Macaca fascicularis: one gene and its partners. The protein of the gene in region 4 purifies or fractionates together with the protein of the main gene of each other region. This does not show direct contact. Links are inferred from orthologs where the notes say so. Each region holds a gene or a part of one and is shown on either strand. Other genes may lie near its edges. The genes, in order: IGSF8, PTGFRN, ITGB1 and CD9.

Region 1 (7,601 bases), on a different chromosome or scaffold from region 4:
TGGATGAGATGAGTGCTCTCCAATCTACACCATGCATCCTTGTTTTTGCAGCTTGTATGTGTTTGCGCATGGCTCTGTGGGGGTGTGTTTCTGGGAGCCGTCTTTCTGTATGATCCCCGCTCCATTACAGTGGGGACATGTGTCCGTGTGTGTGACGTGCCTCGTGCCTGGGGTTTGTTCTCCTCCCCCAGCTTTCCCAGTTACATAAGCAGCTGAGGGGTCCGTCAGGTCTGGGCTGTGGGCTCCCCCTGCTGGCCGCCGCTGGAACCCGGAGTCTGGGGAGGGGCCTGCTGAAGACACTGCTCTCTCCTTGGGCCTTATCCCCTTTGGAGGGAGACACCAACCCAGCTCTCAACGCCAGCCTGCCCCAGCTCCTTCCCCGTCCCAGGCCGCGGGGTAAGAGAGGATATCTCACCTCCCTGAAGACTTCTCTCATCATGCTTATACCGGGGGTTGGTTATGACTTGTTTATGAAATGTATCCCTAACATATAGAACTATGTTCCCTGAGGGCAGGGGAGCAGGCCTGCCTTGTTTACCACGGCATCTCCAGTACCCAGTACCAGGCCTGGCCCAATCAATATTTGTTGAATGACTGAGTTTACAGGGTGGAGAGGCTTGGGAGGAGGGACAGTGAGGTGTAGGAAGATTTGGGGCTTTGGGGATAGACAAACCTGGGCTCAAGTCACCCCTTAGCCACTTAAAAACTGTGTGGCCTTGGGCAAGATACTTCACCTGTCTAACCTCAAGTTTCTCTTCTGTTAAATGACACTGCCTTGCAAAATATGCTATAAGGACTAGGACTAATATCCAAAAGGGCCTTCTTGTGTAAGCATTTCATAAATGACATGTCATTATTACAATTGGTAACGTCTTTCATCCCTCAAGCATCATGAAGTCATTCAATCCACTCGATGATTAAATCCATTATAAAGGGAAAGACGTGTTCTTCCAAAAGCTTCCCTATGAGTTCAGTTTTCACATAGCTCAGTATGCCTGTGGATGGATTTAGATGATGAGGCTCCGGAGCAACCAGGCTGTGGATATTTCAAAGCGGGAATAAAAGGCACCCTACTACCCTGTTCATGGGCCAGTGCTGGCAGTCCTGGGAGGTGAGGGCTGGACCTCTGATCTCCCTTCAAGGCCCCAAACATTTGGCCTCAGTTTCTCTGGCTTCTCCAGGGTTCCTCAATGTGGCTTCTACTGGCAACCCCATGAGCGTCTTCTCAGAGTCAGGCACTCTGCCACGCTTGAGGAATACAATGTCAAGGAAGGTCTGGTCTGGCCTGTGCCACTTACCCTCTCTGGGCCTCAGTTTCCTCTTCTGTAAAGGGGGGGTGAGTGAGTGGGAGGGAAGAGGGGAGAGGGAGGGTGTTGGAGGGTAGAGGGTGGTAAATGGGCTCTGGGATCACCTCCCACTGACGGCCACTCTGACAGCCTTGGCTTTGCAAACCTGGCCATCTCTTCTCCCCATTTTGGTCTCATCCTTCCTGCCCGTCCCCACTCCCCATCTTTACAGTTCAGGAAGAGACAGAACACCTGGGAAGGGTGCCTCCTCCATTCTCCCACCTCCAGGGCAAGCCCCACTCTTCCCAGAACAATGTTCATCTCTTCCCACTGTCACTGAACATAGACACTCCTTCACCTAAACGCCAGGTCTAAACTAGGTCTAAATTAAGCCTCTTAGGAAGCAGTTCAAATAATAATTCAAAAACTAAAACAAAATAATCCTTCGTTATCTCCCATTTCGTGTTAGTTTCCTGTGCCAAACACTTTATGTACATTACCTATCATCCCCTTTGGGTGGTGTGATAACCTCAATTCAATTTGCAGAGGAGAAAACTGAAGTTGAAGGAGGTTAAACAACTGGGCTAGGATCACCCAACCCAGAAATGACGTCACATGGACGGCCGCCTCTCCCAATCCATTTTTCTTTTGGTTTTGCCCTCTGAGGGGGTGAAAAACAGGTCTCCAGTGACCTTGTGGATCCTGGAAGCGCCCTTCAGCTCAAACCCTTCGCCTTTAGGAACTCCTGGGTTCTGCCAACCCCTACTTCAACAGGGTTTGCAGCGAGGACTATGGCTCAGAGAAAATAACTGAATTCTAAATGCGTGGCCACAGCCAATCCCAGGGCCCCTGCACCCAATTCTCCAGGAAAGGCTGGCAGGTGCGGGGTGGGGTGCGCTCTGTACGAGGGTGGGTGGGAATTTCGATGCGCCGAGGTGCAATTAGCTCACTCTTGCCGGGGCCTCGGGCGGAGCCAGGGCCAGGGGCGGGGCGAGGCCGGGGTCCATGGCGGAGTCAGGTTTGGAGGCTGACGTTAGCCCTGGGGGGACTGGGAAGGGGTGGGGCTTGGGACTGGGGCGGGGCCGGGTCCCGGGGCGGAGCCAAGATTGTAGTCCTACTGTAGTCCTGGTGGGGCGGGGCGAGGGAGGGGCCGGAACTGGGGCTGGGCCAGGGAGGGGCCGGAACTGGGGCTGGGCCGAGACCCGGGGCGGAGCCAGGGCTGGAGTCTTGCGGGACGGGACGGGACGGGGCGGGGAGGGGCGGGGAGGGGCGGGGAGGGGCGGGGAGGGGCGGGGAGGGGCGGGACCGGGGCGGGGCTGGGACTCGGTGCCAAGCAAAGGTGAGTTTCGAGGGTCAGGGCGGGGCCGGGGCCAAGTGCGGAGCAAAGAACTGAGTCTGGCGGGGTGGGGCGGGCCGGGCCAGGGCTGGGTCCGGGGCGGGGCGGGCTTAGACGGGGCGGAGGAAGGGGCGGTGCCGGGGCGGGCTGGGGCTAGAATGGTCTCAGAACTGCCGAGGGCTGGAGGGAAAGCAACGGGAGGGGCGGAGGGAGGGGATTCGGCAGCTCCAGCTCAGCTCGCTCGGCGCACCCACGCCTCGCTGCCCAGCTTCCTGCCCCCCACCTGGGCATGCGCCCCTCACCCCACCGGCCCCCCAGAACCCGCGCCATCCCCCGGAGCCTCCCCAGAGCTGGCCGCGCAGGATGGGCGCCCTCAGGCCCACGCTGCTGCCGCCGTCGCCGCCGCTGCTGCTGCTGCTGCTAATGCTAGGTAAGTCAGGCCCCCGTTCCGGTTCCCGGCCCCGCCGGGCAGGTGCCTGCCACCCAGCACCTCCCGAGCATTTCGGGGCTCCTCACATCCTCCTCCGTCAGGGGTACCTCCAGCCTCCCCGGGGTCGGCGGCCAGCTGCGCTTTGTGGCTGCCCGCCGAGCCAGTCTTGGGAAGAGTGCAGGCTCCCCAGCTCTAAGTCAGGGAGTGGGGCACAGGGAGGACCCACTAAAGTGCTGCCCCAGGCACTGCTTGGCCTCCTGGGGCAGGCCCCACTTCTCAGCTAGCATACCCACGTCCTGGGGTCGCTGCACCAAATGCTGCGACTCCTTTCTGCCCCACACTCAGCTCCAGGCCTGGCCTTGGGTGCCCGCCCTGCGTGGGCAGTGCCTGCCCAGCTTCAAAATTGCCCTAGAGTTGGCTGGAGGCCCAGAGGCCAGTTCTGCCCACGATCTTTGAAGTAAGTCTCTCCCAATTGCGCTCCACACACTTCATCAACTGGGGGCAGTTCTCTCTCTCACCCCCATCTCCACCCCAGGTTGGGTCCCTCTTTGCCCTTCTTCCTCTCTCCCAAATGGCACTTGGTTCTGCAGCCACCCATCAGTTTTCACACCCGCTTAGTTCCAGCTTCCTTGCCTCAGGAGAAACCAGGTTCCATGGAGACTGATCCTGGGATCTCAAAGCACCTTGTGCCTGCTGTGGTGGGTGTTCATGGTGGGTTGTTCTGGGCTAATCTTGCATGGATGCCTGGGGGTAATGACAGTGGAATTGTTTTTGGCCTGAACTGGAAGGCTGCCTGTAGGAGGTGGTCTGGGGAAGAGTATGGCGTGGAGAAGTGAAACTGCCAGTACAGATGTTGATGAGGCTGAAGCCCTTGAAATGAGAGTGAAGCGTGGAGGTGGGGATGGTGACTTCAGAGCTGCTGTTGTCAAGGCAGAGGCTGAAGGTAGCCCCAGCTGCCTGTTTCTAGACCAGGGCTCCACAGTGGCACCAAGCAAAGCCTTCCCCTGCTGCAGGTCCCTGGGCCCTGCAGGGCTAGGATGAGTCCTCTCCTTGGTCCCTGGGCAGGTGGCAGGAGGATGTACAGAGAGGAAGGCTCTGTGGGACCTGGGTTGCCTAGCACTTGCTGTGTTTTCCCCAGTGGGCAGCATGGAGCAGGGAGGAGCCCAGGGAGGTGGGGAAGTGCTGGCCTGTGGTTGAAAAAGGAGCACGCAGACGTCTGAGCACCCACTGCCTGTGGGCACTTACATTCATTTCACAAGTGAGGAAATTGAAGTAACTTGCCCCAGAGAGCACATTTAGTGAGTATTAGGGCTAGGATTTGAACACAGATCTGATTCCAAAGCAGGCCTCTTTGCTCTCCCTTTCCTCGCTGCAACTAATACAGAGGAGGTGAGAGAGAGCTGTGTGGCAACTGATTTCCTAAGGCTGTGGAGGTAACTTTCCCATGGGGATCTCCAAGCATCAGCAGTTGTGGAGCCAGGAAGATGGGAGGGGGCCTTCTGAGCAGTCTGCCCCGAGGCAGTCAGGGAAGGTGTCAGCTTGGCCGTCTCCACCATCACCCTGATTATGAAACTTGCCTGGCCTGGGGCAGGGCTCTCCTGAGTCACATGCGCACTCATGCATGGTCAGAGCTGGAGCTCTTAGTTCTCCTCCAGTGTGGAAACCGAGGCCTAGGACAGAAAGAGACTGGATCCCATGCCACACAGCTGGGCATGGGGATGGTGCTGGAATCTCACTTCCTGATTGACAGCCTGTGCCCTTAACAACAACAGACCATGAGTTCTCCCTGTGACTCAGCCAGAGGATAAAGGAAGGGGCTAGGAGCCCAGCAGCAGGGGTGGGGAAGTTCAGAGGAGCCATTCTAGAGAAGCTGGAGGGTAGAGTTTGACCACAGACTCCTGGGCATTTTCCTCTAGCTTCTGCAGAAAGTCCATGGTATCCCCCTGGGAGGCCTAAAAGTGACACTCTGGTTGGTGAGGTCAGTCCCTTCAGGCCTGGCCTTGGAGTTTCCCCATTTTCCTCCCTGGTTTTGCCCCTCTGGAGGAGGGTGTGGAAGCCATCTAGGGACAGCATGATCTTGGCTAAGATATTATACTTTTCCTGCCTTACCTTTCTTATCTGTAAAATGGGGAGGGGGGGAGGGGTAGCCTAGCCCTCTTTACATTCTGAGGTTCTGCGATTTTATCTAGTGGGAGCTATGGAAGGAGAGAAGGGAGGAGCTAAGCCCTCTAAGTCTGCCAGGAGTATCTGCTGGGGTAGAGTTGGGCATAGGGGTGGAGTAGGGTGAAGAAGAGAGGTTTGACCTTTCTGAAGGGAGAGAGATGAGAAGGGGCAGCTTGGGATTTAATGCCTCCCTACAGAAAGAAAGCCATATATGTAAATGAATGCATACCATATGCAAATGAAGGCTTTGTTAAGGAACTGGGGCAGGCGCCTTGTGTGTCTGCTGGGCTAGCCAGGAAGGTTGGCAGGCACTGGAGGAGGGGATCTTCTGCCCCAGTGGCGAGAGCAGAGCCTGGACCTTGCCCCAGAAGCCCCAGCTGCCTGGGCAGCCCTGTGGGGTGAGAGAAGCAGTGAGCTCATGGCGCAGCTGGAGGGGGGAGGGCATTGTGTGGTGAGAACTGACTGGGCCTGTGCCCTTTCCAGCTAGGGTCACTGGCTCCATTGTCTGGTCCAGGTGACACAGCTGAGCCAACTAGCACTTCTGAGCAAGACTGCCAGCTCCCCTCAAGCAAAGGGGAGGGACATGTAGTCTCAGCATCCCCCAGCCAGAAGGCTCCCCTGGCCAGGCACTGAGGAAGGAATGGCAGACATGGAGGTGGGTGAGTGGCAGGGACAGATCAAGGTTTAGCTGGAACCAAAGCCTGGTTAGGTCAGGAATCAGATGTACTAGGCGCTCTGCTTCTAGTCCACCAGAAATGGGATGCATCTAGGTGCCAAGGCAATCCTGGGCCCGTGCCACCTTCTTGAGATCCAGGTGTCTTATATCACAGCATCCCTTTCCTATTCTCAGAACAGGGTCCAAGCTGTGGACCATCTTCCCCAGGTGTCCTTTCCTTTTGTAGGCAGAGATCAAGAATGGTGCTTGTGGTGGCAGAGGGCATGGAATGGGGAACCAGGCATCTCCAACTTCTTCTGCCTTTCCCTACAGGAATGGGATGCTGGGCCCGGGAGGTGCTGGTCCCTGAGGGGCCCTTGTACCGCGTGACTGGAACAGCTGTCTCCATCTCCTGCAACGTGACCGGCTACGAGGGACCTGCCCAGCAGAACTTCGAGTGGTTCCTGTATAGGCCTGAGGCCCCAGATACTGCACTGGGCATTGTCAGTACCAAGGATACCCAGTTCTCCTATGCTATCTTCAAGTCCCGAGTGGTGGCGGGTGAGGTGCAGGTGCAGCGCCTACAAGGTGATGCTGTGGTGCTCAAGATTGCCCGCCTGCAGGCCCAGGATGCTGGCATTTATGAGTGCCACACCCCCTCCACTGATACCCGCTACCTGGGCAGCTACAGCGGCAAGGTGGAGCTGAGAGGTACTGGGCCCTGGGATGGGGTGGGGCCACACACCCTCTCAAGGCAGAAAGTCAAAGCCACAAGTGACCTATCTAACTGCCCCTTAGGTTTTGTAGCCAAGGAACTTGAGGCCCAAAGAGGTTAAGTGACTTGCACAAAGTCGCCCAATAACTCAGTGACTGATATGGGACTCAAACCCAGATTGCCTCACCCAGGCCAGTGCTTGTCTTATCATATCAAGACCCCTCCTGGGAGAAGAAGGGTCCTTAAGTTGTCCATTCCCCTTTCCATTCCCAAGAACGAGGAAGACTATTGGGTTGAATAGACTCTACTCCTGGACAGTACAGGACCCAGATCTGGCAAAGAGAGTAGAGTTAGGGAAGGAGTGAGACCGTGTGACATTCTCACTAAGTTTCTTTGTGTTCTGAGAAGGAAGACAGAACCACTTTTCTCAGTATTTCAAAGAGGGGTCAGTCTCGAACATAGAACCAACATGGGCTGGTTCTATGAAATTCAACAAGTATTTATTGAGTGCCTGTGCTGTGCCCAGTACTGCACTTGGCACCACTGAGTTACGGAGGAAATAATACAACATGCAATCTTTGCCCTCTGAGAGCTCACAGTCTATTTAGGGAGATAGGCTGTACACAGGAAACAGTAACAAGGGCTGCCAGCTCCCAGCCCTCCCTCACTCCAGCTGTTCTCTCCAGTTCTTCCAGATGCCCTCCAGGTGTCTGCTGCCCCCCCAGGGCCCCGAGGCCGCCAGGCCCCAACCTCACCCCCACGCCTGATGGTGCATGAGGGGCAGGAGCTGGCACTGGGCTGCCTGGCGAGGACAAGCACACAGCAGCACACACACCTGGCTGTGTCCTTTGGGCGATCTGTGCCTGAGGCACCAGTTGGGCGAGCAACTCTGCAGGAAGTGGTGGGAATCCGGTCAGACTTGGCCGTGGAGGCCGGAGCTCCCTATGCTGAGCGACTGGCTGCAGGGGAGCTTCGTCTGGGCAAGGAAGGGACCGATCGGTACCGCATGGTAGTAG
Region 2 (7,591 bases), on a different chromosome or scaffold from region 4:
CCCTACAAACTTTTAATGGCTACCCATTCCCACAGATAAAACGACATATATGTTTATAAGTATTCAGTCAGCCAATATGTAACAAACACCCAGTATGGGTTATATATCCTATCAGTAATAGGGACATTGTAGTGAACAAAACCAATGTGGCCCCTGCCCCCAGGGGAAACAATTGGAGTAGGGAACAGACAATTACATACAATGAAGTAAATATATGCTCTGATGACAGGGCACAGACTGCCTGGCAGCACCCAGAGCGCCAAGAAATCTACCCCTCCCAGTCCAGACTCCTCAGCACAGCACGCAAAACCTACAGGATCTATCTCAAACCCACCTTTCCTCCCCCATTATTTCCTCCTCCCCCAAATAATTGCACCCCCATTTCCTCCTCCTCCCAGTTACATAGAACTTACGTGCCATTTCTGAATGAGCCATGTACTTTCACTCATCCACACTTTAGGCTTTTCCCCAGAGCCTAGAATGCTCTTCTATCCTTTCTTTCAAAATTCTAATTATCCTCAAGGCTCAGCTCAAATGTCACCTCTTCAGCAAAACCAGCCCCAACCCCCAAGTCAAAATTAATCATCCCCTTCCTTGTTTCCCACACTTGGTTTCCACGTCAGGTATTTCATTCAGGCCTGTGGTTAGCTATTTTATTCTCTGTCCACTCACACCCACCAGCCGCTCAGGCAGATGCTGTGTCTTGGTCATTTGTCTGGGACTCCCAGTATTGAACACACAGTTGCACACAGAGTGGCACTCTCTCTGTGAATGTGGCACATTTCTTGAGTGGCCACTCAAGAAATGCCACACTGAGTGGACGGGCAAGACAGATCAGACACAGGCAATGGATGTGAAACCTGCCCTATGTGGCTGGGTGGGTTCTGGTGGGATCATGGTAGGTGGGTTTAGAAAGGCTTCATGGAGAAAGTGAGTTTTAGGGGAAAAAGGAAATACTAATACACAGGCAAGAGGTGAGAAGTAGAAGGGGCCGGAAAGTTTAATATAGTCTACATAAAGGAGAGCAAACAGGTTAGATAGAACAAAGTGTGTGAGCCAGAGAAGACTGGAGGGGAGGACACTAGGGGCAACATCTCCTTGGAGGAAAGTCATAAGGACCCAGTGAGAACAGGTGGGAGCCCCAAAAATGATCATTTAGGAAAAGGATGAGCTTAAAAGGGAGGCTGGAGGAAATAACCAACCACGAAGACACCAATTGTGTGGGAAACAATTGGGACCTGGGCTAAGACAGTAGCCGTAGAAACAGGAAGGAAAGGAAGAAGCTGGAGTCTGTGCTATGGGGAGACGCAAGAATTGAGAGACTATGTGAATGTGGAGGTCAAAAAGAGCAGTGATACCAAGATTATACTCAGGTTACTCCCTAGGAGGAAAGATGATCTTGCTTATCAATGTATTACATTTCAGGGATCAGTACAGTGCTAGAGTAGTGTAACACAGGGAGACCTTCCCAGAGGTCAGGCTGAAGTCACGCCAAGTGAGATTCTGTGGCAGCAGAGTTATCAGGAGGGTCATCAATGGTTCAGAGAACTGTCAGGTAAAAAGGCACCGGCTAGTGACACCACAGAAATTCCCAGTGTAATTCATAGGAGGCATCCAGCCAGGACAGGATATGCTGGAGTACAATCAAGATTTCCCCAAGCTGTGCTTTCCCCACTTCTATTTTGCTTTTGTCAGTCTCTCTTTGCCCCCTTCCCTCTTCCCCCCTCATTATGATTACTCAAGGGCATTGTTTTCAAAGTTTTCAAAGTTCTACCTCATCCCACCCTCATAACTGGTACCCAGGTTGTTCAAAGAACTGCACAACTCTAGGGGGAGTCATTCACACAGACTACAAAGTGAACAGCAGCTCCCGAAGTTGCACAGTGCACAATCTGTGCAAACCCAGGCCACGGCCCTGCTTGACCTAGACACACACAGTCAATAAAAATTGTGTGTGGACTATAACAGCAGTGCACCACTAACATACAACTTACAAGGGTCCCGCAGTGAAAAGTAAAGATTAAAAGCACTACCACCGGGTGTGGTGGAGCATGCCTGTAATCCCAGCACTTCAGGAGGCTCAGGTGGGAGAGTCAATTGAGCCCAGGAGTTTGAGGCTTCAGTGAGCTATGGTTGTGCTACTGAACTCCAGACTGGGTGACAGAGTGAGGCTTTGTTTCAAAAATAAAAACAAAGCACTAGGATCAGGGACTATAGAAAAGATGCCATAAAACTAAGTGGAAGATCTGGAAGCTTTCTGCACATGGGCTGAAGCTGAAGCAATGTGGCTGGACGAGCTCTCTGAGGGAGTCAGTTCAGAAAATCTCTTCAAGGTGAAGGAAGAAAACACAGAAGCTAGCAAGGCTGGTTTACCAGCAGCAGGAGTCACGGGGCTTAGAGCAGTGTGGGCCCCCGGTGTCCCCAGTAGGGGAGTGGCTATAGAAGGCCTTCTCTGGGACCCTCCGACCATAAGTGCAGAGTAGTCATTTGCGCTGTGTGCAGCTGGGACCTGGATGGGACGGACACCGCACACCATGCGCTCTGTAAAAGACTCAGATCTGCCTTCTCTAGGGGCTTGGAAGAGAACCCCAGGCCGGGTCATAAGAATCATCTTGTCCTGGTTGACACTGACCACAAGGATCCAAGAATATCAAAGCATTTAAGAGTCGGCCCTGGGGTACCATGGTGGGCACTTAATAAACATATTTCCGTGGCTGGCTAGGATCACCATGTGGATCTACGTGAAGATGGTGTCTGTGTATGGAGTGAATGGAAAATGGAGAGGGAAAAAACCCACAAAAGATTCCTTGGGTGGGGGGAGGGCGCTGGGCCAAAACCTCACGGGGCACCGAGGGTTTCCGGAGGGTGGAAGATGAGGGGACAGTAAGGGAGGAAAAGTAACAGGTAGAAAAAGTTGGAGAAGCCAGGCTCTTAGGTCTTTGTGTATAAATACGCAGCTAGGCAGCTTCAAGAAAAGCTAAAAGAAAAGACTGAGGCAGACAATCTAGCCACGACGAAAATGACGGCAGGACTCGCCCGCCGATTTCCATTGTAACGCTCCGGGCCACCCTGTGACCTTCGTGGAAGGAAGTTGGAGGATTCTCTCGCTTCCCTGGAAAGGCAACTCCGCGCGGGCTGGGCGAAGAGAGACCCGGCCGGCGGCGGCTATGGCGGGGCATATCAAAGGCTCACATTTCCGCTCTCGAGCGGGGGACCCGGGCCGGGACCGCAGCACCTTCCGGGCCGGGAGTTCAAGGTGAGCCGGGCTCCCGGCGGCCAACAGGTAGGGAGGGCTGGGGAAAGCCGGCCCGGGCCACTCCCCCCGGCACATGTTGGGGGCGAGGCTCGGCCTGGCGGAGCCGCCACTTGCACCCTGCGCGCGGGGCCCGGGCTGATTCGCGCCAGGCTCCGGGCGGCCCCGCGGCCGCTCCCCGCCGGGCCAAGCAGCCCGCGCACCCCGGCCGGGTTTCCCGGGAGCAGCCCGGGCACCCTCAGTGACCCAGGCCGCGCGCTGCAGCCGCGCCCCGCCGAGCCCTCCAGGGCCCTGCCAGACCCCCTGCGCCCAGCTGAGCCCCGCGCACACTCACCCAGCGACAGGAGCGCCAGCAGCAGCGGCCTCGGCGCCAGGCGCCCCATGCTCGCCCGGCGGGAGCGACTCTCCCCCTCCTCCTCCTTCCCCGCCGCCTCTCCTCCTCCTCCTCCTCCAGCTCCGGCTGCTCCAGAGTCGGCGCTCCTCCGCCTGGGCCGCGCGCCTGCTCCGCTCTCCTCGCGAGCCGATAAATCCCAGCGCTGGGGCGTACGTGCGCCCCTGGCTCCGCTCGCTCCCTCCCGCCTCCTTCCCTCCCTCCTCCAGCCGGCCGGGCCCGGGAGCCGGCCCCGCCGATCCGAGTGTGCAGCCCCGACCGCTTCCCGAAAGCAGAAGGGAAGAACCGCAGCGCCCGCCCGCCCGCGCCTCCCATCCGGCGCTTTGCCAGCAACAAACACAAACTTTCCCAAGCCCCTCCCCGCTCCAGGTAACGGAGGAAGCGCAGGGGCCACCCGCTTAAAGGCGAGGAGGCGTCGGAGCCCACCCTGCCTTCCCCTCTAGGCCCCCACCCCACGAGAAACTTTCCTCCGACCTTTAAAAGTTGGCCTGGGAAAGACTCGTCTGGAAATCCCTTCGCTTTAGCCCTATCCCGGGACACCCCGCGTTCCATCACGCTGGAGTCACCCACGCGTGTCTAGTCTATCCTCAATCAACTGCCCGCTCGTTCGGCCTCTCGTCCTGAGCTAAACACCCCAGCAACCAGCCGCTTGGCCTATGCCAAAAATTACGCAGATGGGAGCGAAGGAGCTGAAAGGACTTTTGAAGGCCACGGATTCCAACGTCTACCATACAGAGGCCTTAAGTGTTTCGGTGAGGTGCCCAAGGATTCACAGGGAAGGGGCAAAATCAGAACCCCGCTGTCCTGACTGCCCACTCCCCGGTGATTTGGGTGGGCCTGCCTCCTCCTTACCCAGCACCCTCCCTCTCCTCAGCGCCTGTGGCACTGATTAGAACAGCTCCACACAAAGACACCCATTTAAAAAACAAACGAAACCCAAGTGTATTAATAGCTATAGTACTTCATATAGAATGTACTGTTAAGACTTCATATTTCTTGCTCTAAGTGGACACCACTGGTTGCCAATAAAGACTCATACTTCCCCCCACAATAGAGTTTTGTGCTTTTGATTTGAATACAAAAGGCCCCACGGGTATTGGGAGAAAGGGAGCATTCCTTGCTTGAAACTTAGCAAGCATGATTCAGACACGCAAGGAGCAGGACTGGTGCCCACTGCCCCTCACTGGGCTTTCATTCACATGTGGAAAACGGATCACAGATGCTTATGCGGAAACTGCCCACACTCACACAGGGGAAGAACACTACTTTTACTCTCATGCATCCGTGTTTCAACCAACAAATGTTTCTTATTTCCACTATCAAATGTGTGATTAGCCAGGTATGAACCCTTTGGAAAGAGTCTTAAAAATTCATTCCTGGTGGTGCAACGTTATTGTACTTAATGGCACTGAATGGTACATTTAGAAATGTTTAAAATTGCTAGGCATGGTAACTGGTACCTGTAATGCTAGCTACTCAGAAGACTGAAGTTGGGGGCGGGGGCGGGGGTAGAGGGAGGCCGGGAGCGGGGGCAAGGATGGTGTTGCTTGAAACCAGGAGTTTTTATTTGTTTTGTCTTTTTTCTTATTTCATTTTTGAGACAGTATCTCGATCTGTCACCCAGGCTGAAGTGCAGTGCTGCGATCAGGAATCACTGCCGCCTTGACATCCCAGGCTCAAGCAATCCTCCCACCTCCACCTCTCAATAGCTGGGACCACATATGTGTGCCACCACACTCTAGCTAATTGTTTCTATTTTTTTGTAGACACTGGAGTCTCCCTATGTTGGCCAGGCGGGTCTTGAACTCCTGGGCTCAAGCGATTTTCCTGCCTCAGCCTCCCAAAGGACTAGGATTACAGGTCTGAGCCACTGGGCCAAAACGTTTTCTTGTTTTTCTTTTTTCTTTGTTTTTGAGGCTAGAAGTTTGAGACCACTTGGGCAACATTGTGAGACACTGTCTCTAAAAAAAAAGTTGTAATTTTTAAATGGTAAATTTTGTGTTATGTACATTTTATACAATAATTTTTTTAAAATTTTTTTCTGCCACCAAGCCTTTCCTGGTTCTGTTCATACACAGTGTAATTCCTTTATCTTTCCCATCCCAATTCTTCCCTAGAATTTTTCAGGGAAGTTTTCCAATTTCATTCAATCAACCTTGAATGCAAGCCTAATGTTAGGCCTTGGAAGATAGTGGAGCTTCAGAGAAATGTGAGGCCTGGCACCTTCAGCAGCTCAGATTTCAGCTCATCCTTCATCTTTCCTTTTCTTAACCCCCTAGAAAACTTAATGTCTGAACCATACATTGTGGCACTTGGTCACATTCATTTTAGCGAAACATATACACTGCCCCCATCTCTGTCTAATAATGCATGGGCCTAAGAAGCTGTCACATTTTCACCTTGTATCCCACCTTATGGCAGAGTAGATGTTTTAAAAACTCTTTTGTTTAATAAACAATGCGTGACAGGGACTGTGCCTAGCACATGGTAGGTCCTAATGTATATTTATAGAGTGAATTAATGGCACACACTGGGCTAAATCCTGGGGGTACAGGGATGAAGCAGACAGTTCCTGCCCTTGAGGAGCCTACAGTTTGTGCATTGTGATAGCATGTGCAAGGTAGAGTCGTGACACCACAAGGGAGCGGCCAGTCCAGGAGGAGGCTGTCATGACTATGCATTGAGTCTTGAAAAATTGGTAGGTCTTTAGCTGTGGAGTGTAGGGATAAGCTTACAATACATGTTGTGTATTTAGTGTGATAGAGATCCTTCTTGCCTCACCCACGCCCGGGTGTTATTAAATTAATGGTGCACCTTACAATCATGGGAATAACAGTGGTTAACCGTTGAAATGATGAGAATAAATAAAATTGTCTAGGTAAGGCAGGTAGAATGAGAACTGAAGTGGGTAGCCTGCTGGTGGCTGGCAGTTAACTGTCATGGGAGTTAACCAAAGAGCCATTTTTTTTAAGCAAAAAATAAGCATAAATTGATAACTCTAGACTGTTGGTTATAACCACCACACCCTTTGCACATTCCTGACTACCAATGGATAAAGGAAGAAGCACTCACAGCAGACTGGCACAATTTGTTAATTCATGACTCTGGAATCTGACGATGCTTTTACTATGAAAGATATTTATTTACCAGAGTGAGTAACCTTCTATACAGCTAAGGCTTTTGCCCCAACCAGTTGTTCTCCTGTCTTAGTCTATAGGCTTGCCTGGGGCAGGAAGACTCACTCTCCAGCAATTCTAATTGATTCACGCCCACCCCCAAGGAGAGTGCTGACATAGGTTTCTTTTCTCCAACCATAGTGCCCCCAAGGGGCACTGGTCATAGCAGTCAGACCTTATGGTCTTCTGGTTACACATGTCTTTCTGCAGGTGATACCCCTAAAACCTTACAAGAGTCCTCATACTATTACGCCAAACAAGTTTCCCTGCTGAGATCAGGCAAAAAACATCATCATATTATTTAACTTTGTGAATGAAAATGTTAAAAAGTTCCCAGTGAATGAAACTGCTGATCTGAGATTCACCTAGACTTGGGGTTTTTGGCCCTGCCACACGCACACAGTCTCCAAAGGACCCTGACCCCTACCTACTTCAGCAGGGGCTCAGGGACAGGAGTATGTTCCATGGCAACGTTTCATTCCAGTAATCATTTTCACTCTCAGTCTTCCTTGTTCCATGTCCAGATGTATATTTTCCTGGTTAAAGTTAAACAGGGATGACTAAGCAAAAAGAAATTTAGGATTAAATTACAGAATTAGAAAATGAAATTAAAAGTTAAAAAGGGAGGGGTGGTGAGAGGAGGCCTTTATTTCCCCATGAGTGAGAGTCCTGCAATACTGGTGAGATTAGTGGGAAGCTGTAGAATGCTCATCTGACAAGTTTGAAAACAGCAAGGGACCTCATCTGTTTGGTGGGGGCTAAGCAGGGTCC
Region 3 (6,929 bases), on a different chromosome or scaffold from region 4:
GGATAATACTGGTGGGGCACAGTGGCTCACACCTGTAATCCCAGCACTTTGGGAGGCCAAGGCAGGTGGAACACCAGAGGTCAGGACTTCAAGGCCAGCCCAGCCAACATGGTGAAACCCCGTCTCTACTAAAAATAAAAAAATTAGCCTAGCGTGGTGGCAGGCACCTGTAATCCCAGATACTTGGGAGGCTGAGGCAGGAGAATCGCTGGAATCTGGAAAGCAGAGGTTGCAGTGAGCTGTCATCACACCACTGCACTCCAGGTTGGGCGACAGAGCAAGACTCTGTCTCAAAAAAAAAAAAGAAAAGAAAAAGAAAAAGAAAAAAGGATAATATTATTCTAGGCATAGGACTGTTGTGAGGATTAGAGCTGACAGGCTGATTTCATATACTAGAGTGCATTTGCCAAATACAACCACCCCATACAATACAGAGTACTGACTCCCTGTGATAGATGAGAAGTGAAGTGGCTCAATGCTGTTCTGCTTACTAAGTGGAAGAGGTGGGATTTGACCTAATGTCTAACTAATTGCAAAGCACATTCTCTTTTCACTACAACATAGCTGCTGTTCTATATCACATGACTTATTTTACAGTCTTTCTAAGAAAAACGCGAAGTTAACACACAAAAAGAAAAGCCACAATAGCGATATTTAAAGCCAGACTTAAAAAAAGACCAGCAATAGTGATAAGGACACACAGTGCAGTAAAAAAGATAAAAGTTCACATGCAAAGGCAGAAAGTGAAGGAAAATACGAACGGCAATTTAGAGACCAGCTTTACGTCCGTAGTTTGGATTCTTGAAATTATTAATAGGACTCTTGTAAATCGGATTTTCTTGCTAAAGTAAAAGAAATAGTTTCTAATGATTTCATCAGAAAAAAAAAGGACATTTATAGTGTTCAAACACTATAAAGGGAATTTTTTTTCTATTTCTACCCTTCTGCAATTTATAATTTAAAAAACTGGTAATTTTAAAAAACCCAAGGAAATTGTAGTAAAGTGCAACTAACTACAATTCATTTACAATTTAAAAATACTGAAGATTGTCATTGCTTTCTTGTATCAAAAGATGGATACACAAAGGCCAACATTTGGTTACCCCACCCTCTGACTCCTTATTTCAAAGCTCTAAAAATGCTAACATAAACTTTCAGTCCCTTAGGGCTTTTAAGATTTTTATAAGCTAAGGTTTACTGAGATACAATTTTCATAGAGGAACACACATCTTTTTAAAGTACATAGTTCTGTGAGTTTTCAAATACATAAATCTACCCACAATCAAGATCATCCCCAGGAAGATTCCTTACGCCCTGTTGTGGTCAACCCTTTCCTCCGTTCCAGCCCCTAGCAACCACTGATTTTTGCCCCTACAGTTTTGCTTTTCCAGAATATCTTCTAAATGGAATCATATTGTATACAGCAGGGGTGTCCAATCTTTTGGCTTCCCTGGGCCACATTGGAAGAAGAATGATTGTCTTGGGCCACACATAAAATACACTAACGATAGCCGATAAGCTTAAAAAAAAGTCACCAAAAAAAAAAAAAAAAAAAAAACAACTTACAATTTCTAAGAAAGTTTACAAATTTGTGTTGGGGCCACATTCAAAGCTGTTCTGGTCTGCATGTCCTGGCCCACAAGCTGCAAGTTGGACAAACTTGGTATACAACCTTTTGAATCTGGCTTTCATTGAAGGTTGTTTTTTTGTTTCTTTTTTTAAAGAAAGAAACAGCTTTCCATTGAATTGCTTGCTACACAGATAACATTATTTAGGATTCTGCCCCACATTAGATGAAAAGGCAGATTTAGGATCGAAACTATTAAAGAAATAAAAATACTGGCCACAGTAACCAGAATATACATGCTTATAATCAATGTTTTGTTTCAATGGGATATATTTAGGATGCTTTCTGTTTTTCACTAAATGCAAATTCCTTGAGTAACTTTTGGGGGAATAAAACACTTAAAAATGACTTTAATGATCACCCTGACAGTTAATATATAAGTCTTAGGAGTATTACATTTACTTTATGAGCCACTTTGCTTTTTACATGTTTTGTAACTTACTGTGTCCCATTTGGCATTCATTTTCTCCTTTTCAAATTTAGCAAACTCCCTTCTGTCATGAATTATCATTAAAAGCTTCCATATCAGCAGTAATGCAAGGCCAATAAGAACAATTCCAGCAACCACACCAGCTACAATTGGAATGATGTCTGGACCAGTGGGACACTCTGGAAAATAAGAAGGTTATAATAAGTACCACAAAGCTGGGCAGTATCTTATTAAAAAAAAATACAGGAATAAACACCCAAGAGAGTGAATGCACACTATCCCAAAGAATCTATAAAATAGCTTTTAGAACTAACAAGTGAGTTTACAAGCTTGCAGGATACATAATCAATGAACAAAAATCATGTACTTTTCTATATATATAATTTATTTCCACATATTGAAAACAGAAATTTTTAAACAGTAATATTTACTATAGAATGAAAAAGCATGAAAAACTTACATATAAGTCTAACAAAATATATGCAAAATTTGCATGTTAAGAATTACTAAACACTGATAAAAAGAAATCTTTCAGACTGAATAAATGGAGAGATACTCCATGTGCAGGAGTTACAAAACCTAATACTGTTAAGATGTCAATTCTTCCCAGTTTGATCTATAAACTCAATAGTATCCCACTCAAACTCCTGGCAGAACTTCTGTAGCAATCAGCAAGCCAATTTTAAAATTAACGTGGAAGGCAGTGAACTAGGGGAAGTGTCTCAAAAACACTTTTGTAAAATAATAAAGTTGGAAGACTCTTATTACCTGCTTTCAGGGCTAGCTATAAAGAAAGCTACAAGACCACGTGGTATAGCTAACAGATAGACACTCAGATACATGGAACAGAATAGAGTCAGAAACAGGCCTACACATGTAAGGTCACCTGATTTTCAACAAAGGTGGAGAAAGGACAGTCTTTTTTCAACAAATGCCCCTAGAACAAGTGGACACTGATATGAAAAAAACTGAGCCTTCTGTCACACACTAAGAATAACTAAAGATGAGTTACAGATCTAAATGTGAAACCCCAGAAACTATAAAACTTCTAGAAAAAAACACAGGAGAAAAATCCTTAAAATCTTGGGTTAGGCAGAGTTCTGAAAGACAATGTAAAAATAAGAGCCACAAAAGAAAAACTTGGTAAACTGTACTTAATCAAAATTAAAACCTGTGGTGTTCAAAAGACACTTAAAAAAATGAAACGATAAGGAGGCACAGGCTGGGAGACAATATTTGCAAAACACCTAGATGATAATTCAAAACACTACAGGACTCTAAGAACCTGGCAGCTTCTTACAAAGTTAAACATATGCTTACCATATGCTCCAAAATGCCATTTTTACTATTTACCCAAGAGAAATGAAAGCTTATGTTTACACAAAAACATGTACACTAAGGTAGAAAATTCTAAAGAATCTACAAAAAGGCTACCAGGAAAACTAAGATTAAAAAAAAAAAAAGTTTCACCTTCAGAGAAGTTGAACAAAATCAACACTTTATATTAATATCCTTTAACAAATTATCTTTCCTAGTATTCAAACTTAAATCAAGCTCTAATTTTAAAATCATCAATCATAAAAAAAAAACTCTTACTACGCACTTGGTGTCAGGCATCGTTCTAAGTGTCTTATATAAATCACTGCATTTAATCTTCAAACTCTCCACTTAGAAAACTTAAAAGTGGAACTCTGTTTTCCTTATTTCTTATACAGTTAATTAGGTAATATCTTAAGCTTTGAAAGATGAAAAATTTCCCAACTTGACCTAAAATATTCCAGCTGGAGACTGTTTCTGGATGTTAGGCCTAAATAAGCAGAAACAAGACATACAAGATATGAAAAGAATGTTTGCAATCATCGCATTTCTACCTGGATTCTCCACAACATGAACCATGACCTCATTGTTCCCATTCACTGAATATGTAAAATAGAACCAACAGTCGTCAACATCCTTCTCCTTACAATGGGACACAGGATCAGGTTGGACTGGCTGGGGTAATTTGTCCCGACTTTCTACCTTGGTAATGTTAAAATAGGAACATTCCTGTGCGCATGTGTCTTTCTTTTCTCCTTTATTGAAGGCTCTGCACTGAACACATTCTCTGTTAAAAAAAAACCATATTATTATATTTAAATTTTATTATTTCAATAAATATTTGCTTAAACATATTTCCCATGCTAAACTCTTGTGACCAAATTGAACAAACAGCTATGAAGGAGGATCTGAATAAATGAAGAGATGCATTACATTTGTGGATAGAAAAATTATGTAAAAAGATGCTAATTTCCATAATAAAAGATTTATTACAGTTCAAATTAAAACGCTATTAATAAAAGATAGTAAAATAAATTAGCCCTATCACATATTAAATATGTAACATAAAATCATAATAATTTTTTTTTGCCATGGAGTCTTGCTCTGTCGTCCAGGCAGTGCACAACCTTGGCTCACTATAACCTCTGCCTCCCGGGTTCAAGCAATTCTCATGCCTCAGCCTCCCAAGTAGCTGAGATTATAGGCACACACCACCATATCTGGCTAATTTTTGTATTTTTAGTAGAGATGGGGTTTCACCACATTGGCCAGACTGGTCTCAAACTCCTGACCTTAAGTGATCCACCTGCCTCGGCCTTCCAAAGTGCTGGGATTATAGGTGTGAGCCACTGTCCTCGGCCAAAATCATAATATTTAAATAATTTAAATATGTTACTAGTATAATAATCCTTCAAGAGGAAAAATCTTTAATTTGGCTTAGTTTTGTCAAAAGATAGTAATTAAGAAATTGGTAATGACAAACTAAATTAAATCTTAATTGCCAAAATAAAGGTTACCATGTAAATTCAATTATCTACCACATTCAGATCAAAATAATAGTACAACTCTCACATGACACACTTCATACCATGTAATACATACTAGCTGTTGAGAAAAAACTTTTAGGAATTAAAGAGTAGGCTTCCACGTGGCAGGCATTTTATTTATAGTATATTCTAATACTGGCACTGTTCCGGTTCTAGTAACAACACAGGCTTTGGAGAGCCAAGAGGAAGTATCAACTATTTCAAGCAATTAGGAAATACTTACTTATGCTCAGCACAGACACCAAGGCAGGTCTGACACATCTCACATGTTTGCCCTTGGAACTTCGGATCTGTACACTTACAGACACCACATTCGCAGATGCCCCGGCCATTACAGATCTGTCCGTTGCTGGCTTCGCAAGTACTAGTATCCAAAGAACAGTCACATGCACTGCCAGTGTAGTTGGGGTTGCACTCACACACACGACACTTGCAAACACCATTTCCTGCAATTAAGCATATCATTTCTCAAACTAATGGTAAAAATATACAATCACAGTATTGACTGAAAAGTAAAATAAGCAACAACGTGTGAGAAAGTATACCTGGGGCAGAACTGACCCTCGAGCTACCCCTCTTCTACTTATGCACCAAGTAAACTCTAGATTTTTTGTGGCATTAGATGAGATCACGTCTTACAACCACTTCAGGTCCTTTACTTACCTCCACAAATTAAGCCATTGGATCTATCACAGTTGAAATTATCACACTCGCAGAATTTGCCAGAATAAATTTCATTTGTATTATCCCTCTTCCTACAAACACACTGTCCACAAACGCACTCTCCATTGTTACTGCAGATTTCTGAACTGTTTTCTTTTCTGCAGTAAGCGTCCATGTCTTCACTGTTAACTTCATCTGTGCTGCATTCACAATGTCTACCAACACGCCCTTCGTTGCACCTGAAGAAACATTCCAAAATTGCAATCACACAAAACAAAAATAATTTAAGAGGTTCCAAGATGGCCGAATAGGAAGAGCTCCAGTCTACAGCTCCCAGCATGAGCAATGCAGAAGATAGGTGATTTCTGCATTTCCAACTGAGGTACTGGGTTCATCTCATTGGGGCTTGTCGGACAGTGGGTGCAGCCCACAGACTGTGAGTCGAACGAGGGTAGGGCATCGCCTCACCAGGGAAGTGCAAGGGGTTGGGGAATTCCCTTTCCTAGCCAAGGGAAGCTGTGACAGTACCTGGAAAATCAGGACACTCCCACCCTAATACTGTGCTTTTCCAATAATCTTAGCAAATGGCACACCAGGAGATTATATCCCGCGCCTGGCTTGGAGGGTCCCACGCCCACGGAGCCTCACTCACTGCTAGCACAGCAGTGAGATCAAACTGCAAGGCGGCAGTGAGGCTGGGGGAGGGGCGTCCACCATTGCTGAGGCTTGACTAGGCAAAGAAAGTGGCCGGGAAGCTTGAACGTGGCTCAAAGAAGCCTGCCTGCCTCTGTATACTCCACCTCTGGAGGCAGGGCAGAGCTGAACAAAAGGGAGCAGAAACTTCTGCAAACTTAAACGTCCCTGTCTGACAGCTTTGAAGAGAATAGTGGTTCTCCCAGCATGGAGCTTGAGATCTGAGAACGGACAGACTGCCAGCTCAAGTGGGTCCCTGATCCCCAAGTAGCCTAACTGGGAGACATCTCCCAGTAGGGACCGACTGACACCTCATACAGCCAGGTGCCCCTCTGAGATGAAGCTTCCAGAGGAAGGATCAGGCAGCAACATTTTCCGTTCTGCAATATTTGCTGTTCTGCAGCCTCCACAGGTGACACCCAGGCAAACAGGATCTGGAGTGGACTTCCCGCAAACTCTAACAGACCTGCAGCTGAGGGTCCTGACTGTTAGAAGGAAAACTAACAAAGAAGGAAAACTAACAAACAGAGAGGACATCCACACCAAAACCTCATTTGTATGTCACCATCATCTGCAGCTGAGGGTCCCGACTGTTAGAAGGAAAACTAACAAACAAAAAGGACAACCACACCACAACCCCATTTGTACGTCA
Region 4 (6,929 bases):
ACGTCCTCCAGATTTACTCTGTACTGGACATAGTGGCAAAGGGCTTAACGTGCAATATCTCATTTAAATTCTCACAATAACTTATGAGCTATAGAGACAAATGTGGAAACTCCGTACAGAGAGGTTTAGTAATTTGCCAAAACTCATACCTAAGTGAAGAGAAAAAGAAGATGGAAGCCTGAGGAAATAGTCAAGTCAGGAGTAGTAGTTTTTAAAATATTATTATCCTTTAGAGCATAGAGATTCAATTGAGGAGCAAAGCAGAGCTGAAGAACTGACCAAAGTATAAGACACAGGGAGAAACAGCCAGAGCGGGTTTCTGGAGGACGTGGGAGGAGATGGGAAGTGCCCAAAGGCCCCGAGAGAAGGCAGTGCTAGCAGCTGCCATCTGCCCAGTGATGTCCAAGCACGTGGCTGAGAGCTTAAAGAGAGAGAACAAGATGGAACACGTAACATTTGTTCGTGGAGAAAGGTGTGAAAATGCCGCCTCTGCCCCTCTCTTGTCTGCCCATCGTAGGTGATTAAGGAAGTTCAGGAGTTTTACAAGGACACCTACAACAAGCTGAAAACCAAGGATGAGCCCCAGCGGGAAACGCTGAAAGCCATCCACTATGCGGTATGTGGCCTTGGCAGAGACACCCTCCTGCGCTCACTCCGGACCGTGTCTGCACACAGCGGTGCTGACTGTACCAGACCAGCGCAAACATTCTAATCATCTTTTTAAAATGTGTTTCTCTCATCCCCATCCCTGCCTTCTCGCTGTAGTTGGACTGCTGTGGTTTGGCTGGGGGCGTGGAACAGTTTATCTCAGACATCTGCCCCAAGAAGGATGTCCTCGAAACCTTGACCATAAAGGTAAACTCAGAGCAAGATCCTGGTGCCCCTGCACCATTACTGTGGGCAAACCCTGCAAGCATAAAAGTGACAGCAGCCAAGTGCTGCTTCAGAAAGACCCGGTCTGCCTGTGAAAGGGTCCCAGGGCACCCATCTCTTTCTCCCCTACTTTGGGCCCTCTGTTTACTGAAGGGCAATAAAACAAAAGGCCGGGCGCGGTGGCTCAAGCCTGTAATCCCAGCACTTTGGGAGGCCGAGATGGGCGGATCACGAGGTCAGGAGATCGAGACCATCCTGGCTAACACGGTGAAACCCCGTCTCTACTAAGAAATACAAAAACTAGCTGGGCGAGGTGGCGGGCGCCTATAGTCCCAGCTACTCGGGAGGCTGAGGCCGGAGAATGGCGTGAACCCAGGAGGCGGAGCTTGCAGTGAGCTGAGATCCGGCCACTGCACTCCAGCCTGGGCTACAGAGCGAGACTCCGTCTCAAAAAAAATATATAAAAAATAAAAAATAAAATAAAACAAAGGCCAGACCAGGGGAACGACAAGTGCTCTGGCACCGCCCACTGCTGCCAGCCTGGAAGCTGTCGAGGGCAGGCGTGCTTCTGAGTCTTGGACTCCCGCTCTGACTTTGTCAGTGCCTCCTGTCTGTAAGCTGGAGTTAATGTCCAGCTCCAGAGTAGTAAAAAGTGACCTTACAACCGTATCAGAAATAGGCCCCCAAGCAGGGCCTGTCCCTCCCTCCTCCTTCCCTGATGTCCTGCCCAAATGTTTAGCATCCATTAGCATAGCCATCCCTTTGCTCCCCTTTCCATCCACCAGCCAGAACTTCTCTTATCCCTGAACACCCCTGTCCCCAGCCCACCCTCTGCCCACCAGTTCTCCCGGGTGAGACGGGTGCCATGGGAGGAAGGAGGTGCCCCGGGAGCAAGGATTGTGTGTGACCCAGGTCTTGGTTTGTCTCCCCAAGTCCTGTCCTGATGCCATCAAAGAGGTCTTCGACAATAAATTCCACATCATCGGCGCAGTGGGCATCGGCATTGCCGTGGTCATGGTGAGTGGCGGGACGTCGTCCCAGGAGGGGGACTGAGGAATTCACACTGATTCAGCCCATGCTCTGCCCAGATACTGCCGCAGTCTGTGCATTTGTCAGCTCACTTTGTCCTCGTGCCCTTAGTATTTCCATTTTACCACTAGGGAATGGAGAGACAGAGAGGCCGCCGTTCTGATCAAAGCCTCTCACCTCCTGAGTGGAGTATCTGAGGTTTCCCCTGGGTTTCTTCAGAGTCGACTCTCTTAGCCATTAAGGTTCAGGGCACATGGGCAGCAGTGCTGGCGCTGCTAGTCCTCAGAGCATGTCTCCTCATGCACCTGCTGTTCTTCTCCCTAAGAAAGGAGTTCACTAGAGGCTACCGGCATGGGAATTATTTCCTGAAGAGCCTCTGAAAATGGGCAGCCAGAAGGAGGTCTCCTGCTAATCAGCCCCTAGAAACCAACAACGGCCAACCAGGTTCCTTGGGGTCATGTCCTCTCTCCCCGTGAGGGAAAGCCCCAGACGGAACATGGTCCTCGCTGGGATGGCCTTGGCTCCCTGAGTCTTCCCCCACCCCCGCCCGCTTCTGCCCCCTTGCCAGACTGCCCCCAAAGAGAGAATCGCCTCCTTTCTCCGGCGTCTAAGAAAGGCATGAAGTACCTTGCAGCAAAAGATACAATAATACTTTTTTCTTTCTTTTCTTTCTTTTCTTTTTTTCTTTTTTTGAGACGAAGTTTCACTCTTGTCACCCCGGCTGGAATGCAATGGTGCGATCTCGACTCACTGCAACCTCCACCTCCCAGGTTCAAGCAATTCTCCAGCCCCAGCCTCAGCCTCCTGAGCACCTGGGACTACAGACCTGTGCGACCACACCCAGCTAATTATTTTTAGTAAAGATGGGGTTTCACCATGTTGGTCAGGCTGGTCTTGACCTCCTGATTTCAGGTAATCTGCCCACCTTGGCCTCCCAAAGTGCTGGGATTACAGGCGTGAGCCACTGTACCCAGCCAAGATATCACAATACCTTTTAAAATAGAATATTAGGCCGGACGCGGTGGCTCATGCCTGTAATCCCAGCACTTTGGGAGGCCCAGGCGGGCAGATCACAAGGTCAGGAGATTGAGACCATCCTGGCTAACATGGTGAAACCCTGTCTCTACTAAAAATACAAAAAATTAGCTGGGCGTGATGGCAGGCACCTGTAGTCCCAGCTACTCGGTAGGCTGAGGCAGGAGAATGGCGTAAACCCGGGAGGGCGAGCTTGCAGTGAGCCGAGATCGCGCCACTGCACTCCAGCCTGGGGGACAAAGCGAGACTCCGTCTCAAAAATAAAAAATAAAAATAAGGCCAGGCGCAGTGGCTCACGCCTGTAATCCCAGCACTTTGGGAGGCCGAGACGGGCGGATCACGAGGTCAGGAGATCGAGACCATCCTGGATAACACGGTGAAACCCCGTCTCTACTAAAAATACAAAAATTAGCCGGGCGCGGTGGTGGGCGCCTGCAGTCCCAGCTACACGGGAGGCTGAGGCAGGAGAATGGCGTGAACCCGGGAGGCGGAGCTTGCAGTGAGTGGAGATTGCACCACTGCACTCCAGCCTGGGCGACAGAGCGAGACTCCATCTCAAAAAAATAAATAAATAAAATAATAATAATAATAATAAAATAAAATATTAACACTTTGGGAGGCCGAGGCAGGCAGATCGCATCACTGCATTCTAGCCTAAGCAACAGAACAAGACTCCGTCTCAAAAAAAAAAAAAGGAATATTAAATACACACAAAGACAAGCGCAAAAGTACTAACCTGTATGAACTGTAGGAAAACCTGGAATTTGAGCATTTAATTTGGCTCTGAGCTTCCTTGTCCCACCCTGAAAGTTCCCAAGGAAGCTGCTTGTGCACCTGACTGCCAACCCCCCAGATTCCTCACGTCCCGCGTCCTTCTCGTTATCTGGCCTGCATCTCTCCTGCTTCGGTACCTTCTGACTCGTTTGGCCTCCTGGATGCCATTCTCCTTGTCATTTGTCTTGGACTGGGTGACCCGTGTCTCTCCCTTTCCCTCAGCCTGCCTTCACATCAAACCACCCTGATCCTCATGTTTCTTCCTATCTCCCAGATATTTGGCATGATCTTCAGTATGATCCTGTGCTGTGCTATCCGCAGGAACCGCGAGATGGTCTAGAGTCAGCTTACATCCCTGAGCAGGAAAGTTTACCCATGAAGATTGTTGGGATTTGTTTGTTGGTTGTTTGGTTTTTGTTTTTGATTTTGTTTTTTTTTTGCCACTAATTTTAGTATTCATTCTGCACTTCTAGATAAAAGCTAAAGTTATTTTATGTTTGTCTTTTAATGCTTCATTCAATATTGACATTTGTAGTTGAGCGGGGGGTTTGGTTTGCTTTGGTTTATATTTTTTCAGTTGTTTGTTTTTGCTTGTTATATTAAGCAGAAATCCTGCAATGAAAGGTACTATATTTGCTAGACTCTAGACAAGATATTGTACATAAAGAATTTTTTTGTCTTTAAATAGATACAAATGTCTATCGACTTTAATCAAGTTGTAACTTATATTGACGACAATTTGATACATAATAAAAAATTATGACAATGTCCTGGACTGGTTTTGGTTTCCTTTAATTATTTTGAGAGCTATTTGGTTTGCAAATGTCTTTCAACTGCTATTACCTCTACCTGCATTTATATGAGAAGTAGTTTGGGAAATTGCTCACCCCAGTTTGTTTACTAATGAAGACATCTAGATGTGGAAAGATTAAGGGATTCTGATCCAGAGTCACACCGGTGTTAACAGAGGAGTCAGCACCAGCAGCTGGTGCCCAGACGCTCATTCAGCAGTGTGACACGTATATCTTGGGGACATGACAGTACACGTCACACCATGGTGGCAGAACTTTGTTTTATTCACTGCCTAGCCCCCAGTTTCTGGTGCATAGTAGTGCTCAGTATTTTTTTATCAGTGAATATTTGTTGGTTGAATGAATAAATGAGTGTGTACCCATCAGGGTTTCATCAGAGAAGCAGAACCACTAAGAGGTACTTGTTTGAAGAGATTTGTTGTGGGAATTTGACCTTAACACAGTCACTGGCACTGGGGCTGCTTAAGCAGGCTCTGCAGACAACTGGGAAGGACAGACGGACGTAACGTAAGGGAGGACAGGCCCGAGCGGGAGCCCTTGAAGGCAGACACATCCGTCTGTGTCAGTTCTTTTTTTTTTTTGAGACAGGGTCTCGCTCTGTTGCCCAGGCTGGAATGTCATGGCCCAATCTCAGCTCCCTGTAGCCTCCCAAGTAGCTGGGACTACAGGCATGAGCCATCACACCCGGTTAATGTTTGTATTTTTTGTAGAGAAGGGTTTTGCCATGTTGCCCAGCCTAGTCTTGAACTGCTGGTCTCAAGCTATCCACCCGCCTTGGCCTCTCAAAGTGCTGGGATTACAGGTGTGAGCCACCGCACCCGGCCCTGTGTTAGTACCTGCCTCTGCTGAGGTGAGCCAGCAGAGAAGTCACAATTCGTATGAGCTGTGAAATGACCGCTGCTTCACTTCCCACCTCCAAACCTTCCACAAGTTTCTCCTCTGTGCTCTACTCTTAACCGGAAACACACAGGAAGAGAATTCTGGGAAGTGTGGTTCAGCTTACCCAGGTGGACAGATCACAAAGCCACCGCTGCATGGGAGGTGTGGTCCGTGCTCAGACTGCACTGTCGTGGGCCATTCGGAGGCAAGCAGGCAATAATGGCAGAGTGGGATGAACAGGAGAAAGGTGAAGTGCAGAGGCATAAGAAACCAATTTTTATTTTCCATTCCTTAATTCCATTTGGGTTCCTCCTTAACACTACAAAAAGAAAAACAGGAAAGAAGGATCAAAATGTCCCTGAATGCCATTACATTCAAACATCAGAACACCAAAGTTGATAGCAGTGTTATTCACAATAGCCAAAAGGTGCCAACTCAAATGTCCATCAACAGATAAATGGACAAACAATACATGGCATAGCCATATGATAGAATAGAATTCCACCTTAAATGCTGCAACATGGATGAACCTTGAGTACGCTATGCTCATTGAAATAAGCTAGACACAAAAGAACAAATATTCTACAATTCCCTTGATAGGAGGTACCTAGAATTGGTAAATTTATAAAGAAAATAGATTAAAAGTAACCAGAGGCTAGAGAGAAGGGAAAATAGGGAGTTATGGTATAATGAGTACAGAGTTTCTGTTTGGGATAATGAAGAAGTTCTAGAAATAGATGGTGGTGATTGTTGCAAAACTTTGTGAATATACTTAGTGCCACTACATTGTATGCTTAAAAATTGTTAATATGGGCTGAGCACGGCGGCTCACACCTGTAATCCCAGCACTTTGGGAGGTTTAGGTGGGAGGATTATTTGAGCCCAGTTCAAGACCAACCTGGGCAAAATAGTAAGACCCGATCTCTTTAAAAAACAAAACAAAACAAAACAAAAACAACTGGCTGGGCATGGTGGTGCACACCTGTGGTCCCAGCTACTTGGGATGCTGAGTTGGGCAGATCACCTGAGCCTGGGAGGTCAAGCCTGCAGTGAACCATGATCTCACCACTGCACTCCAGCTGAAGCAACAGAGCGAGACACTGTCTCAAAAAAGGAACAAAAAAAGGGTCAAAGTGGTAAATTGATTATTACATATATTTTACTACACACAAAAAAATAGCTGGGTTGGCATTGTTGAGTGTCCTTGCTGCTCTGTGGCCCTAGGACCCTTGTTAATCTGAGGGCTGACTACTGTTCCGGTTGTGGAAATAACAGGTCAACCATTCGTTTTATTTTATTTTATTATTTTTGAGAGATGTAGTCTCGCTTTGTTGCCGAGGCTGGAGTGCAGTGGCACGATCTCGGGTCACTGCAACCTCTGCCTCCCAGGTTCAAGCCATTCTCATGCCTCAGCTTCCCGAGTAGCCGGGACTACAGGCACTCACCACTACGCCCAGCTAACTTTCCTATTTTTAGTAGAGACGGGTTTTGCCATGTTGGCCAGGCTGGTCTCGAACTCCTGACCTC

Evidence for each region.
Region 1: the proteins of CD9 (region 4) and IGSF8 purify together in Homo sapiens (affinity purification with mass spectrometry; 5 studies listed by BioGRID and IntAct, counting the BioPlex papers as one, with this or other methods). This does not show direct contact. The link is inferred for Macaca fascicularis from reciprocal best matches to the Homo sapiens genes CD9 and IGSF8.
Region 2: the proteins of CD9 (region 4) and PTGFRN purify together in Homo sapiens (co-immunoprecipitation; 8 studies listed by BioGRID and IntAct, with this or other methods). This does not show direct contact. The link is inferred for Macaca fascicularis from reciprocal best matches to the Homo sapiens genes CD9 and PTGFRN.
Region 3: the proteins of CD9 (region 4) and ITGB1 purify together in Homo sapiens (co-immunoprecipitation; 5 studies listed by BioGRID and IntAct, with this or other methods). This does not show direct contact. The link is inferred for Macaca fascicularis from reciprocal best matches to the Homo sapiens genes CD9 and ITGB1.

The regions. Positions count from the first base shown.
Region 1 is NC_088375.1:100,957,446-100,965,046, forward strand, and holds the start of IGSF8 (immunoglobulin superfamily member 8), read left to right. Parts: upstream 1-2,837; 5' UTR 2,838-2,985; coding exon 2,986-3,052; intron 3,053-6,203; coding exon 6,204-6,581; intron 6,582-7,007; exon of another isoform or gene 7,008-7,271; coding exon 7,272-7,601. UniProt on the Homo sapiens protein: Member of the immunoglobulin superfamily (IgSF) that links tetraspanin-enriched microdomains to the actin cytoskeleton and plays several important roles in innate and adaptive immunity.
Region 2 is NC_088375.1:117,487,242-117,494,832, forward strand, and holds the start of PTGFRN (prostaglandin F2 receptor negative regulator), read right to left. Parts: upstream 3,934-7,591; 5' UTR 3,637-3,933; coding exon 3,588-3,636; intron 3,257-3,587; exon of another isoform or gene 3,094-3,256; intron 1-3,093. UniProt on the Homo sapiens protein: Inhibits the binding of prostaglandin F2-alpha (PGF2-alpha) to its specific FP receptor, by decreasing the receptor number rather than the affinity constant. Functional coupling with the prostaglandin F2-alpha receptor seems to occur.
Region 3 is NC_088383.1:33,658,415-33,665,343, forward strand, and holds part of ITGB1 (integrin beta-1), read right to left. Parts: intron 5,824-6,929; coding exon 5,585-5,823; intron 5,368-5,584; coding exon 5,145-5,367; intron 4,162-5,144; coding exon 3,929-4,161; exon of another isoform or gene 3,661-3,928; intron 2,237-3,660; coding exon 2,070-2,236; intron 843-2,069; coding exon 768-842; 3' UTR 762-767; intron 1-761.
Region 4 is NC_088385.1:7,135,889-7,142,817, forward strand, and holds the end of CD9 (CD9 antigen), read left to right. Parts: intron 1-517; coding exon 518-616; intron 617-765; coding exon 766-855; intron 856-1,806; coding exon 1,807-1,890; intron 1,891-3,985; coding exon 3,986-4,051; 3' UTR 4,052-4,481; downstream 4,482-6,929. UniProt on the Homo sapiens protein: Integral membrane protein associated with integrins, which regulates different processes, such as sperm-egg fusion, platelet activation and aggregation, and cell adhesion.